Canis lupus familiaris: one gene and its partners. The protein of the gene in region 1 interacts with the protein of each later gene in a pairwise test. Links are inferred from orthologs where the notes say so. Each region holds a gene or a part of one and is shown in the gene's direction. Other genes may lie near its edges.

Region 1 (5,119 bases):
CCAGCGTTGCTCCCGGCCCCCCCTCCCCCAGTTCTGGGTTCCAGAACCTTCCTGGCCCTGGAGCGGGGTGGGGTGAAGGCTCCTGGAGTGCCGCAGGTGCACAGCCAAGTGGCCGGGTGAGTCCTGGGTACTGCAGCACCGGCACCCCCGTTCCAGGGATCCTGGACCCCGTGGGGAAACTGAGGCCCCGGCCGGCGTGTGGGTGTGGCTGAGCAGGCGCACACGTGCCGGCTGCACGCATGGGGCGCGGTGCTGGGCGCGGTGGGGGCCGGCGGCAGTTGGTGAATCAAGATGGATTTCCGGGGCGGCGCGGGCGAGGCGCTCATCGCTCTCCCGCTCAGTTAGCGTCCCGGGGAGCGGCAGCTGGCGGGGTGGGAGCCACTCCATCAGGGGCCGACAGCTCCAGACTGGCGCGCAGGCGGGTGGGAGCGCGCGCCCGGGCCCGCGCGGGTGGTGGGCTGCACACGGCCCGGGGCCGCCTCGCTCGGGCCCACCCGCTGCACCGGCGGGGAAGGGGTGTGGGGGCGCCGGGCGGGTCCCGGGCCCCGAGGTCCCCCCAGCCTTCCCAGCCGACCGTCTTCGCGGGCTTGGGGGCTCGGCGGATCGGGGTGGAGGGCCCGCTGAGTGCGGTTGGGGTACCGGGCGGGTCGCTGCCCTCACTCGGGTCCCTCTGTGCCAGCCGCGTAGGGCCGGGGTGACCCCCCAGCCCCCACCAGGTGTCGTGGAGCCAGGGCTGGGTCTCAGAGGCCGCTGGGTTGGTGGAGGCGCTGGGCAGTGAGGCGGGGAGCCCCCCCACCCCCGGTGCCTGGCCCTGAGCAGGCCTGTGCCGGTGCCCCTGCCGCGGGGCCCTGCGGGAGGGAGGGCCCGGCCCAGAGCGTGGGGACCCGGCCTCCCCCCACCTGCTGCCCAGTGGCTCCTGCGATAAAGCAGTTGTCTAATTAGTAAGTTCTTCGTCGCTGTGCAAACTCCTTGCTCGGCAAAATGGAAATGAAACATTTTTTTTCGGGGTGTCAGTATGAAAAATGACAGTCGCTCGAACATCGCAGAGGACATCTGCTCTGGTTCTTAAGTGCGAACGCCTGTTTATGGCTGATGTGGCGAAACTTGGGGAACGCTTCCCCGTGTACCTGGGTAGCCCATCCGTGGGCGTGCGGGTCAGGGGTGGCAGGTCGCAGCCCGGGGAGCACGCGGACACCTGGGCCTGGCTTTGCCCTGATGCCCGCGATGTGCACGGTGGGGGGTGCGGGGAGGCAAGTGTCCCAGTGCCCGGCCCGGGGGCGGGGTGCTGCTGCAGACGGCGCCCTGAGTCCCACTCGCTGTCCCCTCGATGCCACACGCCAGGCTCCATCCTGCAGGCCGGGGGCCGCTGTCCCTGCAGTAACTGGCGGCCGCCGCCTGGCCGGACCCAGGTGGGTGGGGGGAGCCCTTAGCCCTGCCACGCTGGCACCCCTGTCCGCCCTGCTGGGAGCGAGGGCAGCGTCCTCGGGTTAGCGTGTCCTGGGTGCGTGTGCTAGGCCGGGGTTTCCGTGGGCGGATGGGGCAGGGTCCGGCGGCCGCGTCCCCTCACCGCGCCGTGTCCTCAGGGGAGTACATCAAAACCTGGCGGCCCCGGTACTTCCTCCTCAAGAACGACGGCACGTTCATCGGCTACAAGGAGCGGCCCCAGGATGTGGAGCAGCGAGAGTCCCCCCTCAACAACTTCTCCGTGGCACGTAAGTGCGTGCGGCCTCCCCGGGCCGCGGCTGGGCACCGCTGGGCGCGGGGGCCACCCTGGCTGGACAGGAGGGCAGGGCGGCGGGGCTGGCTTTGAGTCCCCGTGGGAACTAGCGTGCGGCTGGTTCTGGCTGCCGGGAGCTCCGAGGCGGGCCACCCCGGACCTGTCCCGGGGCCGCTTGCTCTGGCGTCCGAGGGCCTGGCTGAGGGGCACAGCAAGTGGGCTGGACGCCACCTGGAGCTCACGGCGGTCTGGGTGTGGAGGCAGGACGAGAGTGCGAGAGGGGCACTCGGCTTCCGGGAGCCTCTGTCCCCCCAGGAGGAGCCCCCAGAGGCCTGGGCCCTGTGGTGGTTTGTGGGGGGCAGTGCCACGCAGGGGGCCTGGGGCAGCCTGCAAAGCTGGAAAGCCTGGTGCTTTCTCTAAACTCCGTGTTCCGGTGGCCTTACTCTGTACCTGCAAGGGGTGGGGACAGCTGGTGCGACCCCACCTGTGGGGCTCGGGTGACCTGGGCATGGAGCTGGGCCGCCCGGGGCTGACCCGGGACACGGCCCCGGGCGGTGGGGGGGGAGGATGAGTGATGGGCTCCTGAACTGACAGACCTCCTGGGTCCGTCTTGGGATGCCGTCCAGGGTACGAGGTGCCCGCTGTGGGGGTCCGGCCTCCACCCTAGTCTCCTTTATACATCTCCACGCTCCGGGTCCCTCTGCCTTCCCTGCCATTCAGCCTGGGAGCCTGGGGTCCTGTAGCTCCCCCACGTCTGGCCCAGGTTCTGCTCCAGAGTCTCGGGGAGGTGGCAGGGGTGATGGGGAGGGACTCACGGCTTCCGTGTGGGCGGCAGGGACATAGAGCTGGGCGGTCCTGGACCTTGGCTGTCCTGCCCACCCTCTCGGTGTAGCCAGCGCTGTGCTGTAGGGGCAAGGGGCATGGCCAGCGTAGCCCCCCACCGAGGGCTTCTGTCCGGGGGGGAGCATAGCCCCTGCCCTGTAAGTCTCCTGCCTGGGGGTCTCCCAGGGGACCTTTACCATGACCCGGGTCCACTGAGTCCTGACCCCATCCGCGTCTTCAGGTTTCCTCGGAGCAGCCATAGAGTAGGGGCTCCAGGGTGACGGGAGACCAAGGAGGTAGGCACCCCTGTCCCTGCAGCCTGGTGGCTGGCTGGGCTCCGCCCAGTGCCTCCTTGGCTGGGGTGGGTGCCACCTTGCTGGCAGGGCTGTGGGGGCCCTGGGGAATGTTCCCTGCGGGCAGAGAGCCTACAGAGGCTCTCGGGAGGCAGGCGCCATGCAGAGGGGCTGGGGCTGGGGCCCTGAAGCCGGGGAGGTGGCTGGGTGGGGGCCTCTGTGGCTACGGGCTTCTCCTTGGGGATGGATTCCAGGGGTGGGGGCACAGGAAGCCAGGGTGGGACGGACACCAGGCGCCTAGGTTCTGGGAAAAGCTGGTGGTCTCTGATGAGCCAGTGGGAGGTAGGTGTGCGGGACGGAGAACACAGGCCACAAGGCTTTCTGTCCCCCATCCCCATGTTGACATAGGCCAGGCCCAGCCCCGGTAGACCACTCCTTACCTCTGCCGAGCCCGGCCAGGCCCCCCTGAGGTTGCTAGGGCCCTCACACACACTGGGCCAGCGTCGCCCTAGAATTTCTCAGCGGTACCCCAGACTGGCTCACACCCCTCTTGGGGCCTCGTGCATCCCCACAGCCCCTGTGCTGCTGGTGTGCGTGCATTACTGGTGTGTGTGTGTGCTCTAGCTGTGTGCCTGCTCCAGGTGTGTGCCTGCTCCAGGTGTGTGCGTGCTCCAGCTGTGTGCGTGTTCCAGCTGTGTGCGTGCTCCAGCTGTGTGCCTGCTCCAGGTGTGTGTGTGCTCCAGCTGTGTGCGTGCTCCAGCTGTGTGCGTGCTCCAGCTGTGTGCCTGCTCCAGGTGTGTGCGTGCTCCAGCTGTGTGCCTGCTCCAGCTGTGTGGCTGCACCAGGTGTGTGTGTGCTCCAGCTGTGTGCCTGCTCCAGGTGTGTGCGTGCTCCAGCTGTGTACCTGTTCCAGGCGTGTGCATTCTCCTGGTGTGTTTTGCTCTTGCTGTGTGTCTGGTCCAGCTGTGTGCCCGCTTCAGGTGTGTGCAGTCCTGGTGTGTGCGTGCTCCAGCCATGAGCGTGCCCCTGGTGTGTGTGTGTTCCAACTGTGTGTGAGCTTCCAGTGTGTGGGAACTCCTAGTGTGCGTGTGTTCCAGGTGTGCCCGCGTTTCAGCTGTGTATGAGCTCCTAGTGTGCATACAATCCAGCTGTGTGTCTGCTCCAGGCACGTGCATGTTCCAGCTGTGTGAGCTCCCGGTGTGCACGCATCCCAGCTGTGTGCCTGCTCCAAGTGTGTGCCTGTTCCGGCCATGAGCATGCTTCTGAGCTCCTTAGTGTGCGTGTGTTTCAGCTGTGTATGAGCTCCCGGTGTGCACACATTCCAGGTTTGTGCATGCTCCAGGTGTGTGCGTGCTCTGGATATGTGTCTCCGTGTTCCTGCCATGCGCCTGGAATCCCCAGCCTCGGGTGGTGGTGGGGGAATGCCATCGTGTGGGGTGGGTACAGCCCGAGCAGCCTCCAGGGAGGGTCATGTCCTCCAGCTGCCTGCCCAGGACAGGCGGCGTCTCTGAAGGGTGAGTCCCCACCGGCCTTTGCCCTGGGACTGGCCCTGCTGGGGGGGGCGTGGGCTGGGTAAATGGCAGGGGGTTCCTGCTCGGGGGCCAGCTGCTTTCCCTCCTCTGCCCCGCCCCTGGGGCATCCCTCCTCCTCCTCCCTCCGGCCAGTTGAGCTGCCTGGCATGCAGCACGGGCTCAGAGACCGAAGGACCAGGGGAGAGGATGACATGGGGCCGAGGTGACCCGGCCTCAGCCAGCCCTGCAGGGGCACCTCACTGCCTGCCAGCACAGTGTCAGGACTGGAATAGGGGTCCCACCCCTGGTTTTACAAGCAGGGGAGCCAAGGCGTGGAATGGGAATGGGATAGGGCTTTGCATGACCTGGTGGTGGGGTCCCGGGGCCGGGGGCAGGTGGGCCCTGTGTGCGGGGGTGCAGACTCACCTGCCAGCCCTGCCCCCAGAATGTCAGCTGATGAAGACTGAGCGGCCCAGGCCCAACACCTTCATCATCCGTTGCCTGCAGTGGACCACGGTCATCGAGCGCACCTTCCACGTGGAGACACCCGAGGAGCGGTATGAGATGGATGCACGGGGCAGCTGGGTGCCGGGGCCTCTGCTCCCTGGTGGGGAGGGCACACGCCCTGTGGGGAGCCAGGCCTCGCTGTCCCCCGTGTCCAGGCCGGGGTCACGGGGCCTCACGTGCCGGCCCTGCAGGGAGGAGTGGACGACTGCCATCCAGACAGTGGCCGACGGGCTCAAGAGGCAGGAGGAAGAGATGATGGACTTCCGGTC
Region 2 (5,803 bases), on another chromosome or scaffold:
ATTGCCTTTTCATGTTATATCCCAGGATTCTTTGTGGTGTTTGATCATGGATTTTGCTAATGGCTTGTTATACTTTCTCCAAGCAAAACACTTGTTAACTTTGTAGCTAGTTGTATCACTGAAACAAAATGACTTTTGCCATTTTTTAACCAGGGATGTAACTTGATCTTTTTTATCCACAAACTCATCCATTTCATAATGGAAAACATTATTTTGCATTCATTCTGGAAAAATACATTTTATAACGTAATGAGGTTATTGTAATTGGTTCAAAAATGACTTGTAAGTTTTGATGGCTTTTGGAGTCAGGGTTTGACAATACTTGTAGTGGGCAATGGACAAAAGGATTGTTGGTCCAATAAAATCCAATTTTTAGATAATCATAGTTGTGGTTTTTTTTAAAAAAAGATTTTATTTATTTGAGATAGAGCGAGGGAGAGAGAGAGAGAGAGAGAGCGAGCGCGCCTGAGTAGGGGGAAAGGCAGAAGGAGAAGGAGAAGCAGGCTGAGCCGACTCAGGGCTTGATCACAAGATTCCCAGGATCATGATCTGCGTTGAAAGCAGACGCTAAACTGGCTGAGCTACTCAAGAGCCCCATAGGTATTCATGATTATACTTTGTATTTACATTTTTATTTATTCATCGCTGCTTGGGTGAACTTATCACATGTAAAGGCACAAAACTCGAGTCCATATCTAAACTGCAGTCTTGTTTAATAGCTACCTTTACTACATAATTTTTTTTTCATAATTTTGAATTGAAATTCTGTACTTGTTAGTTTTTTCATCATTACTTCTTATGTGTCAATGTACTTCTTTAGAGTGGATGCTTTTTCTCTTTTGATGAATTGGAAATACAACACAATAAAATAACAAAGAAAAAATAATTTTAACAATGTAAATAATAATATACAAATTATGTTAAAATACCTCAGCGGAGATAAACTACTGATAAGGAGAGAAATGGATCAATGTAATCTTGTATTACATATGTAATCTATAAGAATGCAGATATACTCAAGAGCATAATGAAATTTGTTAAAATTCGAATTAAATTGATATTAAACAATAGGTGAAAGATAAGTAAGGTGGTAGTATATTGTAGTGCTAAAATATGTTCCTAGAGTCAGACTTCTTCAGTTTGCCTTGCACATCATTACTTACTAGCTGGTTATCACTTGCTTAATCTCTTTGCTTCTCTTTCCCTATCTGCAAGATGGAATTAATAATACAATCTACATCACAGTGTTGTGAGAACTAAATGAGTAAACACACAGAGCAGTTTGGATAGTGTCTGGCACGAATGCTTAGTGCTTCCTATTATTAAAAAAATCTGTTCAGTCCTCATCTTATTACTTCCCTACAAAAACCCATCATTATGTCCCTATTATTGACCAATGGAAGTCATCCCACTCTTAATCAGAATACCTTCTTTATACAACGCCTTTTGTTTTGGCTGTCGGTACCTCTCTCACCAGACCTTAAGCGCCCAGATTGTTTTACACGACCAGTTCCATACCAGGCACTCAAAAATTATTGAGTCTTTTTTTTCACCAGGGACAAAGGTCCTTAATGGAGGAAAAAAATTCTAGAAAGGATTACAAATCACTGTGTAAAGTTTAAGCATTAGAGCCACTAAAGAGGGTTTACGAAACAAATCGTCTGCACAGTTTTCAGCCAGGAAAATCCACCACCTAGGGCAGCCCCGGTGGCGCAGCGGTTTGGCGCTGCCTGCAGCCTGGGGTGTGATCCTGGCGGCCCAGGATCGAGTCCCGCGTCCGGCTCCCTGCATGGAGCCTGCTTCTCCCTCTGTCTCTGCCTCTCTCTGTGTCTATAAGTAAATAAGATCTTAAAAAAAAATCTACCACCTAGCTAAGCTTTTGAGTAAAAATGTTTTTCGCCTACGTCACTCGATCACTGACCTCTGACGCACAGGAGGCGGGATTAGAGAGAGACAGCTGGACTTCTTTTTTGCCCGCCCTCCTCCAATGGACTGGCGGGCACATTGGCCAGCCCTGCCTTTTGCATTCTCATTGGTCAGTTGCCCCGAGGAGGCGGGCTCTGAGGGAATGACTCCATCCACTCTTTGGGCGGGGTCCGTCCTCCGGAGGCTGGGGCCTGTCGGGGCGGGGTGTGTGTTACCGCAGCCGCCATCTTTGATTCCGCGGTAGCGGTGGCGGCTGTAGGGAGCCGCGTCTGGGGAGTGGCTCTCCCCTCCCCCTCCCCCCCGGTTCGGTGGCGGCGGCTCCTCCCACTCGGGGGGTGGCGCGACGGCATTGGCATCTACGGCCATGGCGGCGGCTGCTGCTAACCCCGGTAAGTAGACGGAGGACTGGGGCGCCTCTAAAAGGAGGAGGGGCTGAAAGGGTTGGCTGCTGAGGAGACCCAGGGCTGAGCGGCGGTAGTTGGGGCTGAGGGCGCTAAGACTAGCGGAGGTGGCCGACGGGTGGGGGAGGGGAATGGCGGGGGGAGGGGCCGGCCCTAGGGATCTGGGGAGACCAGAGGTGGAGGGAGGGAGTTCGTTGGGGCGAGTTCTGTCGGAGCGGTTCCCTTGGTTGGGCTTGGCCTGCCTCCACTGTCCTGGCGGCATTCTGCTGTGTGATGTGGTCCTTGAGCTCTGCCCACTTGAGCTGCTTGATGCACAATAACTGGGAAAATTGTCTCCTTTTACTTTAAAAGTGATTTAGATTTATCAACACTGGACCGCATTGCTGTTTAGCTGAGGTGTTGAACTTCCAAACGTTTAGACGTTTACATTTTTAATTTAAATTAAAAAATGTCTGGATATATACCCAGTTTCTCTAGGCTTAACATTCCCCCCCCCCCCCCCCCGGCTATCCTTTGAAACTGGCGTTTTTGTATTAAGTGCCTCCCAGTGTCTTCAGCTGCTGAGGACAAAAGTTTGAGTAATGTTTGGTGCTCAGGGCAGATGTTGCCAACAGCTAGCATTCAGAACCTGAACTTTAAATCTTGTTGGGTGTAGATGGAGGCAGTTCCCATTCTTTTTTTTTTTTTTTTTTAAGATTCTATTTATTCGTGAGAGACACCGAGAGAGAGGCAGAGACACAAACAGAGGGAGTACCAGGCTCCCCGCGGGGAACCCTATGTGGAACTCGGTCCCAGGACACCGGGATCACGACCTGAGCTAAAGACAGACGCTCAACCACTGAGCCACCCAGGTGCCCAAGCAGTTCCCATTCTTTAAGAAAAATTCGGTTCCATGTCATTTTTCAGTGAGCATCTCTTCAAAAGGGGGAGCGAGAATATTAAAAAAATCTAGGCAGTCATGTTTAAGCGATGGAGTGGGGTGTATTGCTGCAGGTCTAGACAGATCAGGTCTCCAAATTCCCAGTCCCAGATCGTTCCACTATGTTACAGTTATTTCTTCCTTGGAAGTATTTCGTTTTAGGGATCCTGGTTTACCTTGCAGACCTTGGCCATTCTCTTGTGAAATAAAAATTCTTTTCCGGAAATCTCTATCTTTGATAACCTTAAAAAAGAAGCCAGAAGTTCGGGGTGAATTACTTGAAAATACTGCGGTGAAAGGGATTCACAGTGAAAGGGTGTTCCCACGTTGAAACTGAAGTTGACTTTTTTCCGTGTATCTCAACTGATTATTATTTTGTGGTACCCAGGTTTTGGTATAGCAGTTAAATCACTATGAAGTTTACTGTCTTTACTACCATGTTTCTGGGAACAGAGCTATTTAAAGAAGTTAATTTGTCACATATCAATATCATATTGTAAAATATTTTAATTTTTTTTAGAGGAAAAGTAGATGAAATTAATGGCTAAAACTCTATTGGAAGAAGTGCTGATGATGGAATAAAATTGGAAAGATGCTATTATTATGGCAAACCTGGCCTTGTAGTAAAGTAACCCATGTGTTAAAACTAAGGAGTAAATAAATAGGGTTTTAAACTGATAACACATTGCAAAATAGTTACATAATCCTAGTCAAGTTGCAAAGCTTTTCTCTTGTTAAGATGTGGCCTGGGTAAACAAGTTTAGTGCATATGTCGGAAGCTTTTTTTCAGCAGTGTGGGTGGGGCTGCTTTATTTCATTTTATTTTTTTTCAACAACAGTGACCAGAATGTCAGCTTCTTGACCACATTTCATTAGCTGATTCATATCAGCTTAAATCTGAAGCAGAAAATGGTATTTATTTGTGTACAATCCTTGCTAGTGAAGCATATGATTTTATTCTATGACAGCCTGCTTCTGCAATTTTTAGATTTCCTTTTTGATGTTGAAAATTCTCACTTCTCTTCCAAATTATTGATACAACAACATTCAACACCTGGTAATTAGAAAATGTATTTTCTTCCATCATTTCTTCTTTTGCTCCTCTATATTCAAAAGGAAGCAATCATAGGTGTATTGTGGTCTTTAATAGCCTTGTTGAGTTTTGGGAAATGTGGACTACAAATAAAGGGACACAGGATGGAAATGTATTGCGCTCAGTGAAAAGAAGTAAATAAGGGATCCCTAGGTGGCTTGGTGGTTTCGCCCCTGCCTTCAGCCCCGGCCGTGATCCTGGAGTCCCGAGATCGAGTTCCGCATTGGGCTCCCTGCATGGAGCCTGCTTCTCCCTCTGCCTGTGTCTCTGCCTGTCTCTTTCTGTGTGTCTCTCATGAATAAATTTTTAAAAAATCTTTAAAAAAAGTAAATATTTTTGGAGCATCTGAATGGTGCAGTTGGTTGTCTCAGACTCTTGCTCCGGTCATAATCTCAGGGTCCTGGGATCAAACCCTGAGCAGGCTCTGACCTCAGGGGAGAGTCTGCTTGAGATTCTCCCTCTCTCTATGGCTCCCCGCATCTGAGCACGTGCTCTTTCTCTGAAATAAATAAATCTAAAAAAAAAAAGGAAGGTAAATGGTTTTCAGGTCAGAATTCTTTGTTTCATGGTCAAACATTTCCTTAGATCCATTTTAGGGACTAGAGACATCATACTTATTTCTTTGAGTTTTTTCTACTTTATCTTTTTGCTGGTTAAGATTCCCTGATATGTTAAGAGTTACATTGAAATAATAAGTCTAATGTGATAATGGCCTTTTCTCTGCATAAATTGATAATCCCCATGTTCTGTTATTTTTCACTAATTCTTCTTACCATTGGCAAATAATAGTGGGTGGGTAAGTGGTCCATGAAGTATTAGGCTGTCTTTTTTGTTATGAAACACTAACAGTTTTGAGGAATACTTTTTAGATTACATGCATGATTTGTAATGCATTGGCTAAGGCATGGATTGGGAAGAGATTAGGTATTTGACTTCCAACTCCATATTCAAAGCAGAAATAAGAATGAATTTGTAGGAGTATAGGTATGTCCTCCTCCCTTGATTCTGGTATTCTTATCTCACCTCTTTTTGTGCTAATAAGTACCACTTATTGTGGCTAGAAAATGTGGCAGAAGGTAAAGGGACACTGTTTAGGTTTGTGAAGCTGATATTTAGGAAATTTTTTTCTTTTCACATAATATTCACCTATGTAAATTATAGTTTGGAAAGCATTAGTTAACAACAATATTCTTATTTGTTACCTTTACTCTTTTTAGTTATGGGAAAAATAGGAATTTATGTGGTGTAAAATTAAGATATCAAGATGCTTTATTGCAAAAACATTTTTGAAAAGTATATTGAGGGTTGCCTGGGTGGCTTGGTTGAATGACTGACTTCAGCTCAGGTCATGATCTCAGGATCCTGAGATTGAGCCCCATGTCAGGGTCTTTTTTTTTTTTTTTTCCATGTCAGGGTCTTGCTTCTCCCTCTCCCTTTGCCCTCCCCCCTGCTCATGCTCTTTCT
Region 3 (5,681 bases), on another chromosome or scaffold:
CCCGGGATCGAGTCCCACATTGGGCTCCCTGCATGGAGCCTGCTTCTCCCTCTGCCTGTGTCTCAGCCTCTCTCTCTCTCTGTCTCTCATGAATAAATAAATAAAATCTTTAAAAAAAATTGAGATATAAGGGACATATGATATTGTATCAGTCTTAGCTATATAATTTGATACATATGTATCTATGTATATACTGTGAAATGATTACCACAATAAGCTTACTTTAATATCAATCAACCACATAGTCATAAATAACTCTCATAATGAGAACTTTTAAGATTTCTTCTCTTAGGGTGCCTGGGTGGCTCAGTTAGTGAAGCCTCTGCCTTAGGCTCAGGTCATTATCCAAGAGTCCTGGGATGGAGGCAGCCTACAGCTCCCTGCTCAGCGGGGAGTCTGCGTCACCCTCTCTCTTTCCCCACCCTCCTCCTGCTTGTGCTCTCTAGCTCTCTCATAAATGAATGAAATCTTCAAAAAATCTACTCTCTCAGCATGTTTCAAATATACTATGCAATACTTTGTATTATAGTCACTGCACCGTACGAGACATCCTTAGGACCTCTTTATAACTGGAGGTTTGTACCTTTTGACTGCCTTCATCTATCTCACTCAAGCAACTCTCATCCTCACCTGCCTCTGGCTACCGCCAACCCCTTCTCTGTGTCTTTATCTGAGGATTTTTTTCACCCCAGGCCCCGAGATTCCACATTTAAAGCTTTAACAGGTCTTTGCGTCCTTCCCCTCCCAGTAAGTCCTAGGATTCTTCTGTGTCCTTTCCAAAGTGCTGTCCTAGGGCAGCCCAGGTGGCCCAGCGGTTTAGCGCCACCTTCAGCCCAGGGCGTGATCCTGGAGACCCGGGATCGAGTCCGGCGTCGGGCTCCCTGCATGGAGCCTGCTTCTCCCTCTGCCTGTGTGTGTGTCTCATGAATCAACAGGTGAAGTCTTCAAAAAAAAAAAAAAAAAAAAAAAACAACAAAAAACCCAAAACCAAGCAGGAGTTAGTGACTGGCCAACATTGCTTTTATTACCTTATGCGTAGGTTTTTGGTTAACGACCAAATAACGAATGACTTAAAGTCTCGCCAGCTTAAGAATGGCTCTGATTTTAGCTAAAAAAAGATTTTCGAGGATACAATGAAAAGAAAATGGCCCGCACGACCTGCGTCGCACGTTACCCGAAACCAGCAAACACGCTCCGTGTGACAGCGAAGACCAGAGTCCAGTCTCGGAGACGCCCGGGGACGGCGGCCGCCGAGTAACCAGAGCGCCGCCCCCGGCGACCACCCTCCTCCGCGCGGGCCGCAAACCCGAAACCCGCAGGTGCCGGCGGCGTCCCGCGTCCCGGGACCGGAGAACTAGCCCCACCCACGGCGCCGGCGGCCCCCAGGCGCCCCCCACGGCCGGCGCCCCGGAGCTCGCGGAACGGGGACTCACCATGAGAAGGGTGTGGCCCGCGAGGTCGGGGACCGAGTCTCCGCAGGGGACAAACATGGTGGCACAGAGGGCGGGAGGACAGGCAAGGCCGAGCGCGGGCCCAGGAGGCCGGGGGCGGGGGCGGACCCGCGAGCGCCGCGCCAGGTCTGGCAGCGCGGTCCCCAGCGCGGGGGGCGGGGCCACGGGGCGGGGGGCGGGGCCACGGGGCGGGGGCGGGGCCCGGGCCGCCGCTCGGCGTGGGGTCCTGCGGGGCCAGTCCAGCTCCGCGCCGGTCCGCGGTGCGCGAAGGGCCGGGCGCCGGGGGAGATGGGGGCGGGCAGTGCGGGCGGAGACCCCCGCGGGGCAGGGCGGCGGGGAGCGTGGGCTGGCGCGGTGGGCGTCCCCAGGCCGGGAGCGGAGGCGGACGTGGTCAGGCACGGACGGGGGCAGCCCGCGCCCCGGCAGTCCGCGCCGTTTGAAAGCCACGGTTGAGCGCCGCCGCCGCCGCCGCCTCGGCTCCCGCCCAGCCGCGGCCCTGACGCGGCGCCGCGCCCCCCGGGAGCTGCGCGAGGCCGAGCGGTCGGCGGCTCCGCCCCGCGGCTACTGGCACCCCGGGGCCGGCCGGGCGCGCCCGAGGCGGGGGAAGCGCGGCGAGCGGCGGCCGCAGCATGTCGCTGCCTCCGGAGAAGGCCTCCGAGCTGAAGCAGCTCATCCACCAGCAGCTGAGCAAGGTGAGGGTCCGGCCCTGGCGCCGCCCGCCTGGCGTCCCGGGCGAGGCCGACGGCGGCGCGGGCGGGGGGCTCCGAGTGTGCAGCCCGGGCCGCCTCCAGCCTCGGCGAAGGGCAGCCTCAGCCGCGCTGAGGAGGAGGCGCTCACCCCGCGGCTTCGGGGTGCCAGGCCGAATACCAGCTGGGCTGCAGCAGATGTATGTTCGGAGGGTAGGAGTGAGAGTTACTTTAAGGGTGAAACTCGTGTCTTGAAGTTGAGCCAGGGGGACGTTCCTGAAGGTCTGCACGGAGAGTGCTTGCGGCCCTTCGGAGCCCAGCGAGAGCCCCGAACGCAGGGAGCTGAAGCCCTGAAAGCTGCCGTTTGCTGTGCACCTGTATGCCAGGTCCCGTGCTCAGTGTAAAGCATCTTTGACCTGAGCCTGCAGTAATCTTTTCCAGACTCATGCAGGGTAAACGGATCAACTCAGGGTCACGTCTCATAAGCTCAACGTTGAAATTCATACTCTGATCTCCTAGTCCAGGTCTGTGTTCTCTTGCGTATACTACACTCCCAATAGGCCTGTTTTCGTTGAATGTTATTTGTGGGGAAATGGTAACAAAGGTAGTAGATAGCCAGTAGAGATTATTTCTAGAATTTGTGCTAAGAGAAATTTAGGATGAAATAAAAGTCTTAGCTTTATTCTCATTGAATTCTAGCGATAATTTTACACTTACTATTAGCTTGAAAAGCCGTCTTGAATTTTGTCCACTCTCCCATTATTGTTTTTTAGATATTTATTGATTCCTGAGACACACAGAGGGAGAAGCAGGTCCGCTGCAGGGAGCCCGATGTGGCACTCGATCCGATCCCGGGACCCTGGGGTCACGCCCTGAGCGGAAGGGAGACGCTCAACCGCTGAGCCCCCCGGGTGCCCCTAGTACTCTCCCATTATTTTTTTTTTCCTTTGGGTGCTTTAGAAAGAAATTAGCTAATTGGCAATGTTTGTCAGCTTTATAAACGTGAGTTATATTGCAAGTTTTCTACATAGATGGATGTCCATGGCAGAATAAGAGAAATCCTTGCAGAGACAATACGGGAAGAATTGGCACCTGATCAACAACAGTTATCAACGGAAGATTTGATCAAAGCCCTTAGACGTCGGGGAATCATTGATGATGTGATGAAAGAACTTAATTTTGTTACTGTGAGTAGTTTGGTGGGGAAGAATTTTGAGAATATGTTCCTGGGCATAATGCTGCTTATTGGGTCCATATTTGGGGCCTGTTTTTAGTAAAATCACTTTAAAAGGCCATTTTTGTCTGGTAATATCCTTACTATAAGTTCACTCTACCCTTGAATGTAGCAAGTGGGATTATGTATCAATGAGATTGGAGTTACATACCATATTTCTCTTTACAGTGACAGAATTTTCTGTTGTTATTCCCTAGGTCTGTATCTGTAAGTATACATATTTTAGTGAAATTAGTTCACCATAACCTAGTTCTTTTTCGCAAGTAGTGTTTTATAATTTTTTTTAGATTAGGCATATTTTTTAAATACATTGTTTTAGAACTTCATTCTCTGTGATTAACAGATTATCAAATTTTTAAAGAAAATAATTGTGTAAGAACCTTCAAATCTCTTTATACAAATAGGTCGGTAGTGAGATGATAAGCCTCCGTGCACAAAATAGTAAGTGGGCCTTCTTTTGAAAATGAGGCAATAATGAGAAACTGTGACCTAATAATACATGAGTAGTATAATGTAAAAATTGGATGGAGTGCATAATACATCAGGGAATAAGTATTTTAATACAGCCTCCTTTTTTGGTTTTTGAGGTTTATAAACCCATTTGTTTGAAAATTGACCCAGTAACAGCTTCTGCTGTGTGAATGTCATTTCCTTATTAAAATCAGTTCATGGTAGAATCATAAGCCAAATGTCATATTAGGTTTAGAAAAAGTTTAACCTTGTTTAAGGTATTAAGGATTTGTTAATAGCATTCTGTGGACACTGAAGACAGTTTATTTCCTTATTAAAGTTTAGGAGTGACCAGTTCATCAACTCTTTTCATTATTTTAATTATGCTGGGAAAATAAGAGTTTCCTTGAGGGGGCTTTATCCTGTATACTTCTGTTTAGTTCTTAGTCCCACCCATTGTTGATGTTTCTTTGCTTAGCTATAATTTTTGTTTTCTAATTTGTTTTCATCTTTTTTCCCACCTTTCTAGGACAGTGTTGATCAAGAACTACCTTCCTCTCCAAAACAACCTGTTTGTTTTACTGATAGACAATCAACGTTGTTAAAAAAAAGTATGTATATTTCTTTTAACATTGATTTCGTTTTGCACCGTACTACATATTGATGTGCTGTAGTGTTTGGTATTTGATGAAAACCATTTTTTTCCTTCTCGAATGAGATTCTTACCATTTTTGTAATTAATCATCCAAAAAACTTAGATTCTGTTTTGCACCAAGTTGTGTATGTCAGAAGCTTTAGTATATCACAGAGTGGAAGCAAAAACAGAATTACCTGTTTCTCATGTTTTAATAATATGTTTTATAAACATTGTACAGCTTTGCTTTTTTAACGGTAATTGCCTAAAAAGTACACTTGCTGAGTTTATATTTGTTTGGTTTGGCTTTGGCGGTGAAGGCGTGTTATTAGATAAGCACCTGAAGAGCAAAGGTTTCTTAAGCCTTGGCTCTGACTCTTTTCTAGCTGGGAGAAAGTACCCAGAATATAAAAACTCCGATAAAAATATATCTTATTGTGTATGTTTTCTTTCTTGGTTTCAAATGGTCCTGGTATACAGTAAATTTGTTACTTTTTTAATTTAGTCTTTGGTTTTATTTCTGTCAAGTTATTATTTCCTATTGTCTTGATCACATTCCTTAAGTTGTTTGGCAGTTTCCTCATATATATTGCTACACTTTACAGCTAATATTGATCCAACACGGAGGTATCTTTACCTTCAGGTTTTGGGTGGAAAAGCTTTCTTGGAACATCTACAAGAACCTGAGCCTTTACCTGGACAAGTTTGTTCAACCTTTACTCTATGTTTACATTTTCGAAACCAACGTTTTCGTTCTAAACCTGTTCCATGTGCCTGTGAACCAGATTTTCATGATGGCTTTTTACTTGAAGTACACAGAGAAAGCTTAGGTAAGGAGCAATAATAACTTGTCATTTAATTGAGTAAATATTTGTTAGGTTTTATGGTAACATAACTTTTGCTAGAAGGAGAGTTTTATGATGATTGAATCTTCCTACTTTGCTTTTATTTTCTCCACTGCTCTTTTTTACATAAATTACTTCTACCTTTTTGCTTTATTTTCTGCTAAATAATTTTTCCTTAAGATTTTTTATTTTTACTGTTTTAATGGTTGCTTCTTAAGTAGTAAACATTTAAATATCTGTTAGGGGGTTGCCTGGGTGCTGTAGTCGGTTAAGTATCTGACTCCTTATTTTGGCTCAGGTCATGCATGATCTTAGTGTTGTGGGTTTGAGCCCTGCATCGGGCTCTGCGCTCAGCACAGAGTCTACTTGAGATTTCTTTCT
Region 4 (5,720 bases), about 7.9 Mb from region 1:
GCTCCTGATGCATGGAGCCTGCTTCTCCCTCTGCCTATGTCTCTGCCTCTCTCTCTCTCTGTGTGACTATCATAAATAAATAAAAATAAAATAAAATAAAAGCTAGGTCCAATGACCTCTGACCCCTAAAATGGGGTAGATTTTATGCTGGAGAGCTTGCCTGTCCATTAGACCACACAGAAGCTATTCCTTTCTCATGGATTTCCATAAAGAAGACCCCAGCCCCCTTCCCCCGATGCTGCCCCATGAACTCCTCAGTCATCTTGTGCCACTTTCATGTTTTGGAATCCCCTCTCAAGTGATTCGCTAAATCCTACACAAGAATGATGTACACTCTTGCTCAATATTAAGAAGCTCTCATGCAACGCTGAAGACATATATTGTTCTTTCAAAGGACTCTGGGGGGTGTAAGGATCATATGTATTCCCAGGACATTCAGAAGGATATTCAGGCAAAGGAGTGTGATTCTTGTTCTGTTACTTGTTACTATTGTGGCCTCTCTGAAGAGCAGAAGGAGTGGTAATGAAATCGGCAGACCCCAGAAATCGGCCTTCTGGGTCCTGGGGTCCTCGATGTGGCTGGGTCAGTGGCCACGCGGGCTCCTAGCTACCTCCTTCCCTTGCCACACTGTCTAAGCCAGACTTGTTACCACCGTTTCTGACCTCAAAGCTCAGGACAGGGCTGAGATTCCCCAGCCATTACCATACTATCTTGCTCCCAGTGGCTACCTGGGTCTGGAATTAAGAACCAACCACTGGGAAATCACTCTGAATGCCACGAGTCTGAATATGAAATACCAGCACCACCAGAGGCTGCTCCGGGAAGGAGGTTTGCTGGGCTCCCGTCTGCCTCCTCCACTCCACCTTGGCTTGGGTTTTGTCTCCTCTTTTTGTGTTCCTGGTAAATCCAATTATATATTTATCTCCATTACTGTAGGCCACCTCAGCACTTTCTTGGGAATTAGGTTGTTTGGAGTGGGCAGAGCAGCACATACATACCTTTGCTGTCAGAGGATCAGGGTTAAGCTCATTTTCATTTCTGTGATATCTCGAAAGATCACAGAGTATTTTCTTAGTGCCTGGGCAGAGAGTCAGGAAGGAGCTGGAAGGTGAAGCACCACACTGCAGCCAGGGGTGATGCTTGAGCAACGAGGCCGGGCCTCGCTTTACATGTTTCTCATTGTACTTTATTTTCTTAATTGCCTTAATGGGCATGCGGTGTACTGCAAAATGAAGTGACATTGTTTTCCTTGTTTGCTGTAATTCACAGAGAGCCGGTTTGATCATGAAACCCAGGGACTTTTCAATTCCATTGATCTTGGGGCGGAGAGAAGGGATTCTTTTCAAGCATTCATTTTGAAGGATGTGCTCAGCAATGAATTCAAAGCCTATAAAGGGGAAAAAAAAACCCATGTTTCTTCACCATCGTGTTTCACAATAGCTATTAGATGACCACACCATCATCAAAGCCGTGGAAAATGTGTTTGCGGAGGGGGGTGGGGGTGAGTGGGGTGTCGGGGCTTCATGAGTAGCACTTGGCCAAGGAGACCGAGTCGGACACCCCATCCAGAGGCTGAAGGGGATGCTTGGACCTGGGAGGGTCCAGGCTTCGTTCAGGCTCGCATGATCCGGGAAGATGTGCAGGGGGGCCCGGCTCTGGGTTGCCTGGCATCGACTGTGAGTTCCCAGCAGCGGCCTGGCGTCCCGGTCTCTAGTGGGACGTGAGCAGCCACACACACGCGGTGGCGGGCTCGGACAGTGGGGTCTGGGCGCCCCGGAGAGCCGAGAGGCCTTTGGCACGGACAAGGGGGTGGCTCCCCAGCAGCAGCGGGGAGCGGGGAGGGGGGGACAGCCGGAGCCCAGGCCTGGCCAGGGCGCCCCCCTGCAGGTCCAGCTGCAGACCCGCCCGCGGCCCCGCCCCTCCCCGCCCCCCCGGCCCCTCCCACCCCGCCGCCCGGGGGCGCCCGCGCGCACCGCGACCCACCCGACCCCGCGCTGCAGGGGCTCCCGCGCTGCAGAGGCTCCCGCGCCCGTGCCCCGGGGCGCCATGGGCGAGCTCCCGTTCTTCAGGGCGCACGCGGCCTTGCACCCGGACCACCTGTGGATCTGGGAGACGTCCGTGTACGTGGACGAGAACCAGCGCACCTGGCTGCCCGTAACCATCGAGGTACAGCCGCCCCGGGGCGGGCCGGGCGCGCGGCGTGGGCATCCGGGGTGGGACCACCTGCCCCGACTCCCAGGGGCGGGCGGGGGGGTGGGGGGCAGCGGAGCCTGCTTCACCCGGAACGCAGCGGTGCAGACGCCGAATTAGGAACAAAGATAAAAAAAAAATATTATGGTAGCTCTGCAGGATGTGAGAGGCCTGGAATCCCAGGTCCCCACCACCGTGTCTCTTGGCATTTAAATCTCTGGTTAGGGCACAGGACACCAAGACCACAAAGTGGAGGTTTTTGCATTGTCCTCATAGATCCTGCGTGAAACATACCCCTAGCCCAATGTGGGGCAGGCTTTGTGTCCATGTGATTGAAAGGGCCTGTTTTCTTAATATGTAAAGTTTTTTTTTTTTTAATTTTTATTTATTTATGATAGTAACAGAGGGAGAGAGAGAGAGAGGCAGAGACACAGGCAGAGGGAGAAGCAGGCTCCATGCACCGAGAGCCCGACATGGGATTCGATCCGGGGTCCCCAGGATCGCGCCCTGGGCCAAAGGCAGGCGCCAAACCGCGGCGCCACCCAGGGATCCCTGTAAAGTTTTTTTTTAAGATTTTATTTATTTATTCACAAAAGACAGAGAGAGAGAGGCAGAGGGAGAAGCAGGCTCCATGCAGGGAGCCCTACATGGGACTCGATTCCGGGACTCCAGGATCACACCCTGGGCTGCAGGCCGTGCTAAACCGCTGAGCCACCGGGGCTGCCCTTAATATGTAAAGATTGACTTAAAACCAATAAGAAGGGATCCCTGGGTGGCTCAGCGGTTTAGCACCTGCCTTTGGCCCGGGGCGCGATCCTGGAGTCCCGGAATCGAATCCCACGTCGGGCTCCCGGTGCATGAAGCCTGCTTCTCCCTCTGCCTGTGTCTCTGCCTCTCTCTCTCTCTCTGTGTGACTATCATAAATAAATTTAAAAAAAAAATAAAAAAAAATAAGAAAAAAATGAACACGCAGACTAAAAGTGGTCTAGAGGCTCTAGAAAACTATAAACGAACACAGCAAGAATGGTGATTTCCACTCATATCTTGCAGGATGATCTGAATTATTTAACAATTCTAATTTATCTCATAGATGGGAAATTAAAAACAAAAAACAAATTAAAAACAAAAAACAAAAAATGATTTCCACTTTGGAAAAGTAGTTCTTGAGCAGACACGAATGCCTAGTTTATAGACCCAGCCTGCTTTCCAGGCTATGAGGTTTTGTGGGGAATGTGATAAAATCCTGCTACTCAGCAAGCTGATGCTTGCTGAGGGGTGCAGAACAATAAAATAATTGAAGCTGGTGGTAAGTTGTGTAAGGATGAGAGGCAGTAACGAGTGGCGTGGGGTCTACAGGCAAGACCCCGTCAGAGAATTAATTTGCATTTGTTTGTCATGCTTTTGTCCAATCATTTTATTTGAAACCTTTGTAAGTCTCACTTTTAGATATGCGGGCCTCATGTGTATTTCATAGAGCTGGATTTTGCAGAAATTTGTCCCTGTAGATAAAAAGTTGTGCAGAAACCTATCTAAGGAAGGGTGTGAGCCGCGTGTAGATCTCAGCGAGAATGTTCCAGGCAGAGGACCACAGATGCAAGAGATTACTGGGGATGTGGCATGTCCTGGAAAGAGCAAGAAGGCCTTTGTGGGAGGTGGAGGAACAGGGTGGGAGGTGGAGGACTGAAGAGATGAGGGAGGCACGGGCCCACATTAGTGGGTCTGTGGACCATGGTAAAGGCTGCAGTTTCTTCTGCCCACAATGAGAAGCCACTGGAGGGTGTCAAACAGGAGGTGACATGATTTTTAGACGCACACCCTGGCTGCTGTGCTGTGAGCTGATCGTGGGGCACATGACCAACGAGGTGGCAGGTTAGCTTACTGCAGTAGAGGGGCACTGGTGGAGATGGGGAAAAGTGGTCTCTCACCTGATTGTGGGTGCTGGGGAAATTTGTTTCAATGGGGCATTTGTGGGCACCTGGCTGGCTCAGTCGGTGGGGCAAGCGACTCCTGATCTCAGGGTTGTGGGTTCAAGCCCCGTGTTGGGTGTAGAGATTACTTAAAAAAAATTTTTTTTTAATGAATAAATAAAAGGGGCTGGGCTCTGTGACAAAATAAAGAAGAATCAAAGAAACTGCAGCTAAGGAAGCTCAGGGACGAATGTTCAGTTTGTCAGGAAGACGTGGGCCTGGTGTGGCCCCGTCTGGGTGTCTAGACTCATGTAAGTGCCGGTCATCTCCGCCTGGCCCGATGCCTGAGAGGGGCATGCATGGCGCAAGGGGTGAAGTTGCTGGGAAGAGTGATCGCCAGCATTTCAGATGTCAGCTGGGCCGTGAGGGTGGCAGGAAGGACCCTGGGTATTTGGGTGCTGGGGAGCCTGGGCCCTGAAGGCATGCCCTGGTCTTCCCTTCCCTTCAGACGGAGAGCAGCCTCCAGGTACTCATGCGTCAGGAAGATGTCCCCCTAGGGGAGGCCATGTGCCCCAGCCTGCTAGCCCCATGCCTGCTGCCTTCCATGTGGCAGCTCTACCCTGGAAGAAGATACCGAGGCTCAGACTCCAGTTTCTGGCGCATAGTGTACCACATTGAGGCAAGTGTGTCCTCCTCCTGGACACCGTCGAGTCATCTTGGGTGGGCCTGTCCTGTCCTCCTCGCCTCCCCCAGGCCCCCATGTCTGGCCTCTGAGGTCAATCCATTCCCTCCATCTCTCACCAAAAGCTAAACAAGTAGGAGTTTACAACTGCAGGTTTTTCAAGGATTGGACTGGGGAGACATCAGAAGACATTGACTGGGCCACCTTCTGAGGTCTCAGCCACAGGGAGGCCTCTCGGATGGGCAGTCAGGGGGTGAAGGCTGGTGGGAGGAGGGGCTCCTCGAATCCCCCGCCCCCAGGCAGGTTCCTGCCTGCTGCTCCGAGCTCCTGGAAGGCCCGGGAGGCAGGAATAGAAGGATGGAAGGAGACTTCCTAGGGCCCGGGCCTCTCACCCGCTTCTCCCGTGCAGCTCAGTGGCATGGAGGACATGCTCCTGGAGCAGCTGCCAGACCTGGAGGATGAGTGACCAGGTGAGTACCTTCGGGGCCCAGCACCTGTTGGTCCAGAGTGCCCAGGTCGGGATGAAGGACCACCCTTCTCGCATGAAGGCAGTGCTGACTCCCACCCCGACGGAACTGTCCTCTGAGGGTCTCAGGGTCCCTGCTCTCCCCATTACCACACTGGGGGCTAGTCAGTTGTCCGCGGCCCCCTTCCCCGCAGGGGTGCACGTCTGTACAGCGCCTCTCACGTTATGGGTGCTCCCACTTGATCATCACCTCGACTGAGCTGGGAATTACTCGATTTCCTAGGTTACAAAAACGAGCCTCGAGGAAGCACCATAACTGGGGCAGGTCACAGAGCCGGGTTCCCAATCCCAGTGCGCTGACACCAGGCCTCTCGCTCTCTTGGTCATCTGCCCTGGCTCAGACGCAGGGGCTCAGCCCTGGGGGCCCAGGCCGACCCCCAAGCTCCCCGTCCAGACTCCCCCCAGCAGCTCCGCT

What was found. The genes of interacting proteins can lie anywhere in the genome.
Region 2: the proteins of AKT1 (region 1) and ARNT interact in a protein complementation assay, tested with the Homo sapiens proteins (2 studies listed by BioGRID and IntAct, with this or other methods). The link is inferred for Canis lupus familiaris from reciprocal best matches to the Homo sapiens genes AKT1 and ARNT.
Region 3: the proteins of AKT1 (region 1) and CEP76 interact in binary tests that used the Homo sapiens proteins (3 or more experiments, as listed by UniProt). The link is inferred for Canis lupus familiaris from reciprocal best matches to the Homo sapiens genes AKT1 and CEP76.
Region 4: the proteins of AKT1 (region 1) and TCL1A interact in binary tests that used the Homo sapiens proteins (3 or more experiments, as listed by UniProt). The link is inferred for Canis lupus familiaris from reciprocal best matches to the Homo sapiens genes AKT1 and TCL1A.

The regions. Positions count from the first base shown.
Region 1 is NC_049229.1:72,723,404-72,728,522, reverse strand, and holds part of AKT1 (RAC-alpha serine/threonine-protein kinase), read left to right. Parts: intron 1-1,583; coding exon 1,584-1,712; intron 1,713-4,788; coding exon 4,789-4,900; intron 4,901-5,041; coding exon 5,042-5,119. UniProt on the Homo sapiens protein: AKT1 is one of 3 closely related serine/threonine-protein kinases (AKT1, AKT2 and AKT3) called the AKT kinase, and which regulate many processes including metabolism, proliferation, cell survival, growth and angiogenesis.
Region 2 is NC_049238.1:60,665,691-60,671,493, reverse strand, and holds the start of ARNT (aryl hydrocarbon receptor nuclear translocator), read left to right. Parts: upstream 1-2,129; 5' UTR 2,130-2,290; coding exon 2,291-2,315; intron 2,316-3,154; exon of another isoform or gene 3,155-3,178; intron 3,179-5,803. UniProt on the Homo sapiens protein: Required for activity of the AHR. Upon ligand binding, AHR translocates into the nucleus, where it heterodimerizes with ARNT and induces transcription by binding to xenobiotic response elements (XRE).
Region 3 is NC_049228.1:78,180,028-78,185,708, reverse strand, and holds the start of CEP76 (centrosomal protein of 76 kDa), read left to right. Parts: upstream 1-2,007; 5' UTR 2,008-2,080; coding exon 2,081-2,143; intron 2,144-3,168; coding exon 3,169-3,324; intron 3,325-4,350; coding exon 4,351-4,432; intron 4,433-5,060; coding exon 5,061-5,285; intron 5,286-5,681. Other genes in the region: PSMG2 (proteasome assembly chaperone 2), read right to left, coding at 1,434-1,490. UniProt on the Homo sapiens protein: Centrosomal protein involved in regulation of centriole duplication. Required to limit centriole duplication to once per cell cycle by preventing centriole reduplication.
Region 4 is NC_049229.1:64,860,978-64,866,697, reverse strand, and holds the start of TCL1A (T-cell leukemia/lymphoma protein 1A), read left to right. Parts: upstream 1-2,046; coding exon 2,047-2,166; intron 2,167-4,605; coding exon 4,606-4,776; intron 4,777-5,188; coding exon 5,189-5,245; 3' UTR 5,246-5,249; intron 5,250-5,720. UniProt on the Homo sapiens protein: Enhances the phosphorylation and activation of AKT1, AKT2 and AKT3. Promotes nuclear translocation of AKT1. Enhances cell proliferation, stabilizes mitochondrial membrane potential and promotes cell survival.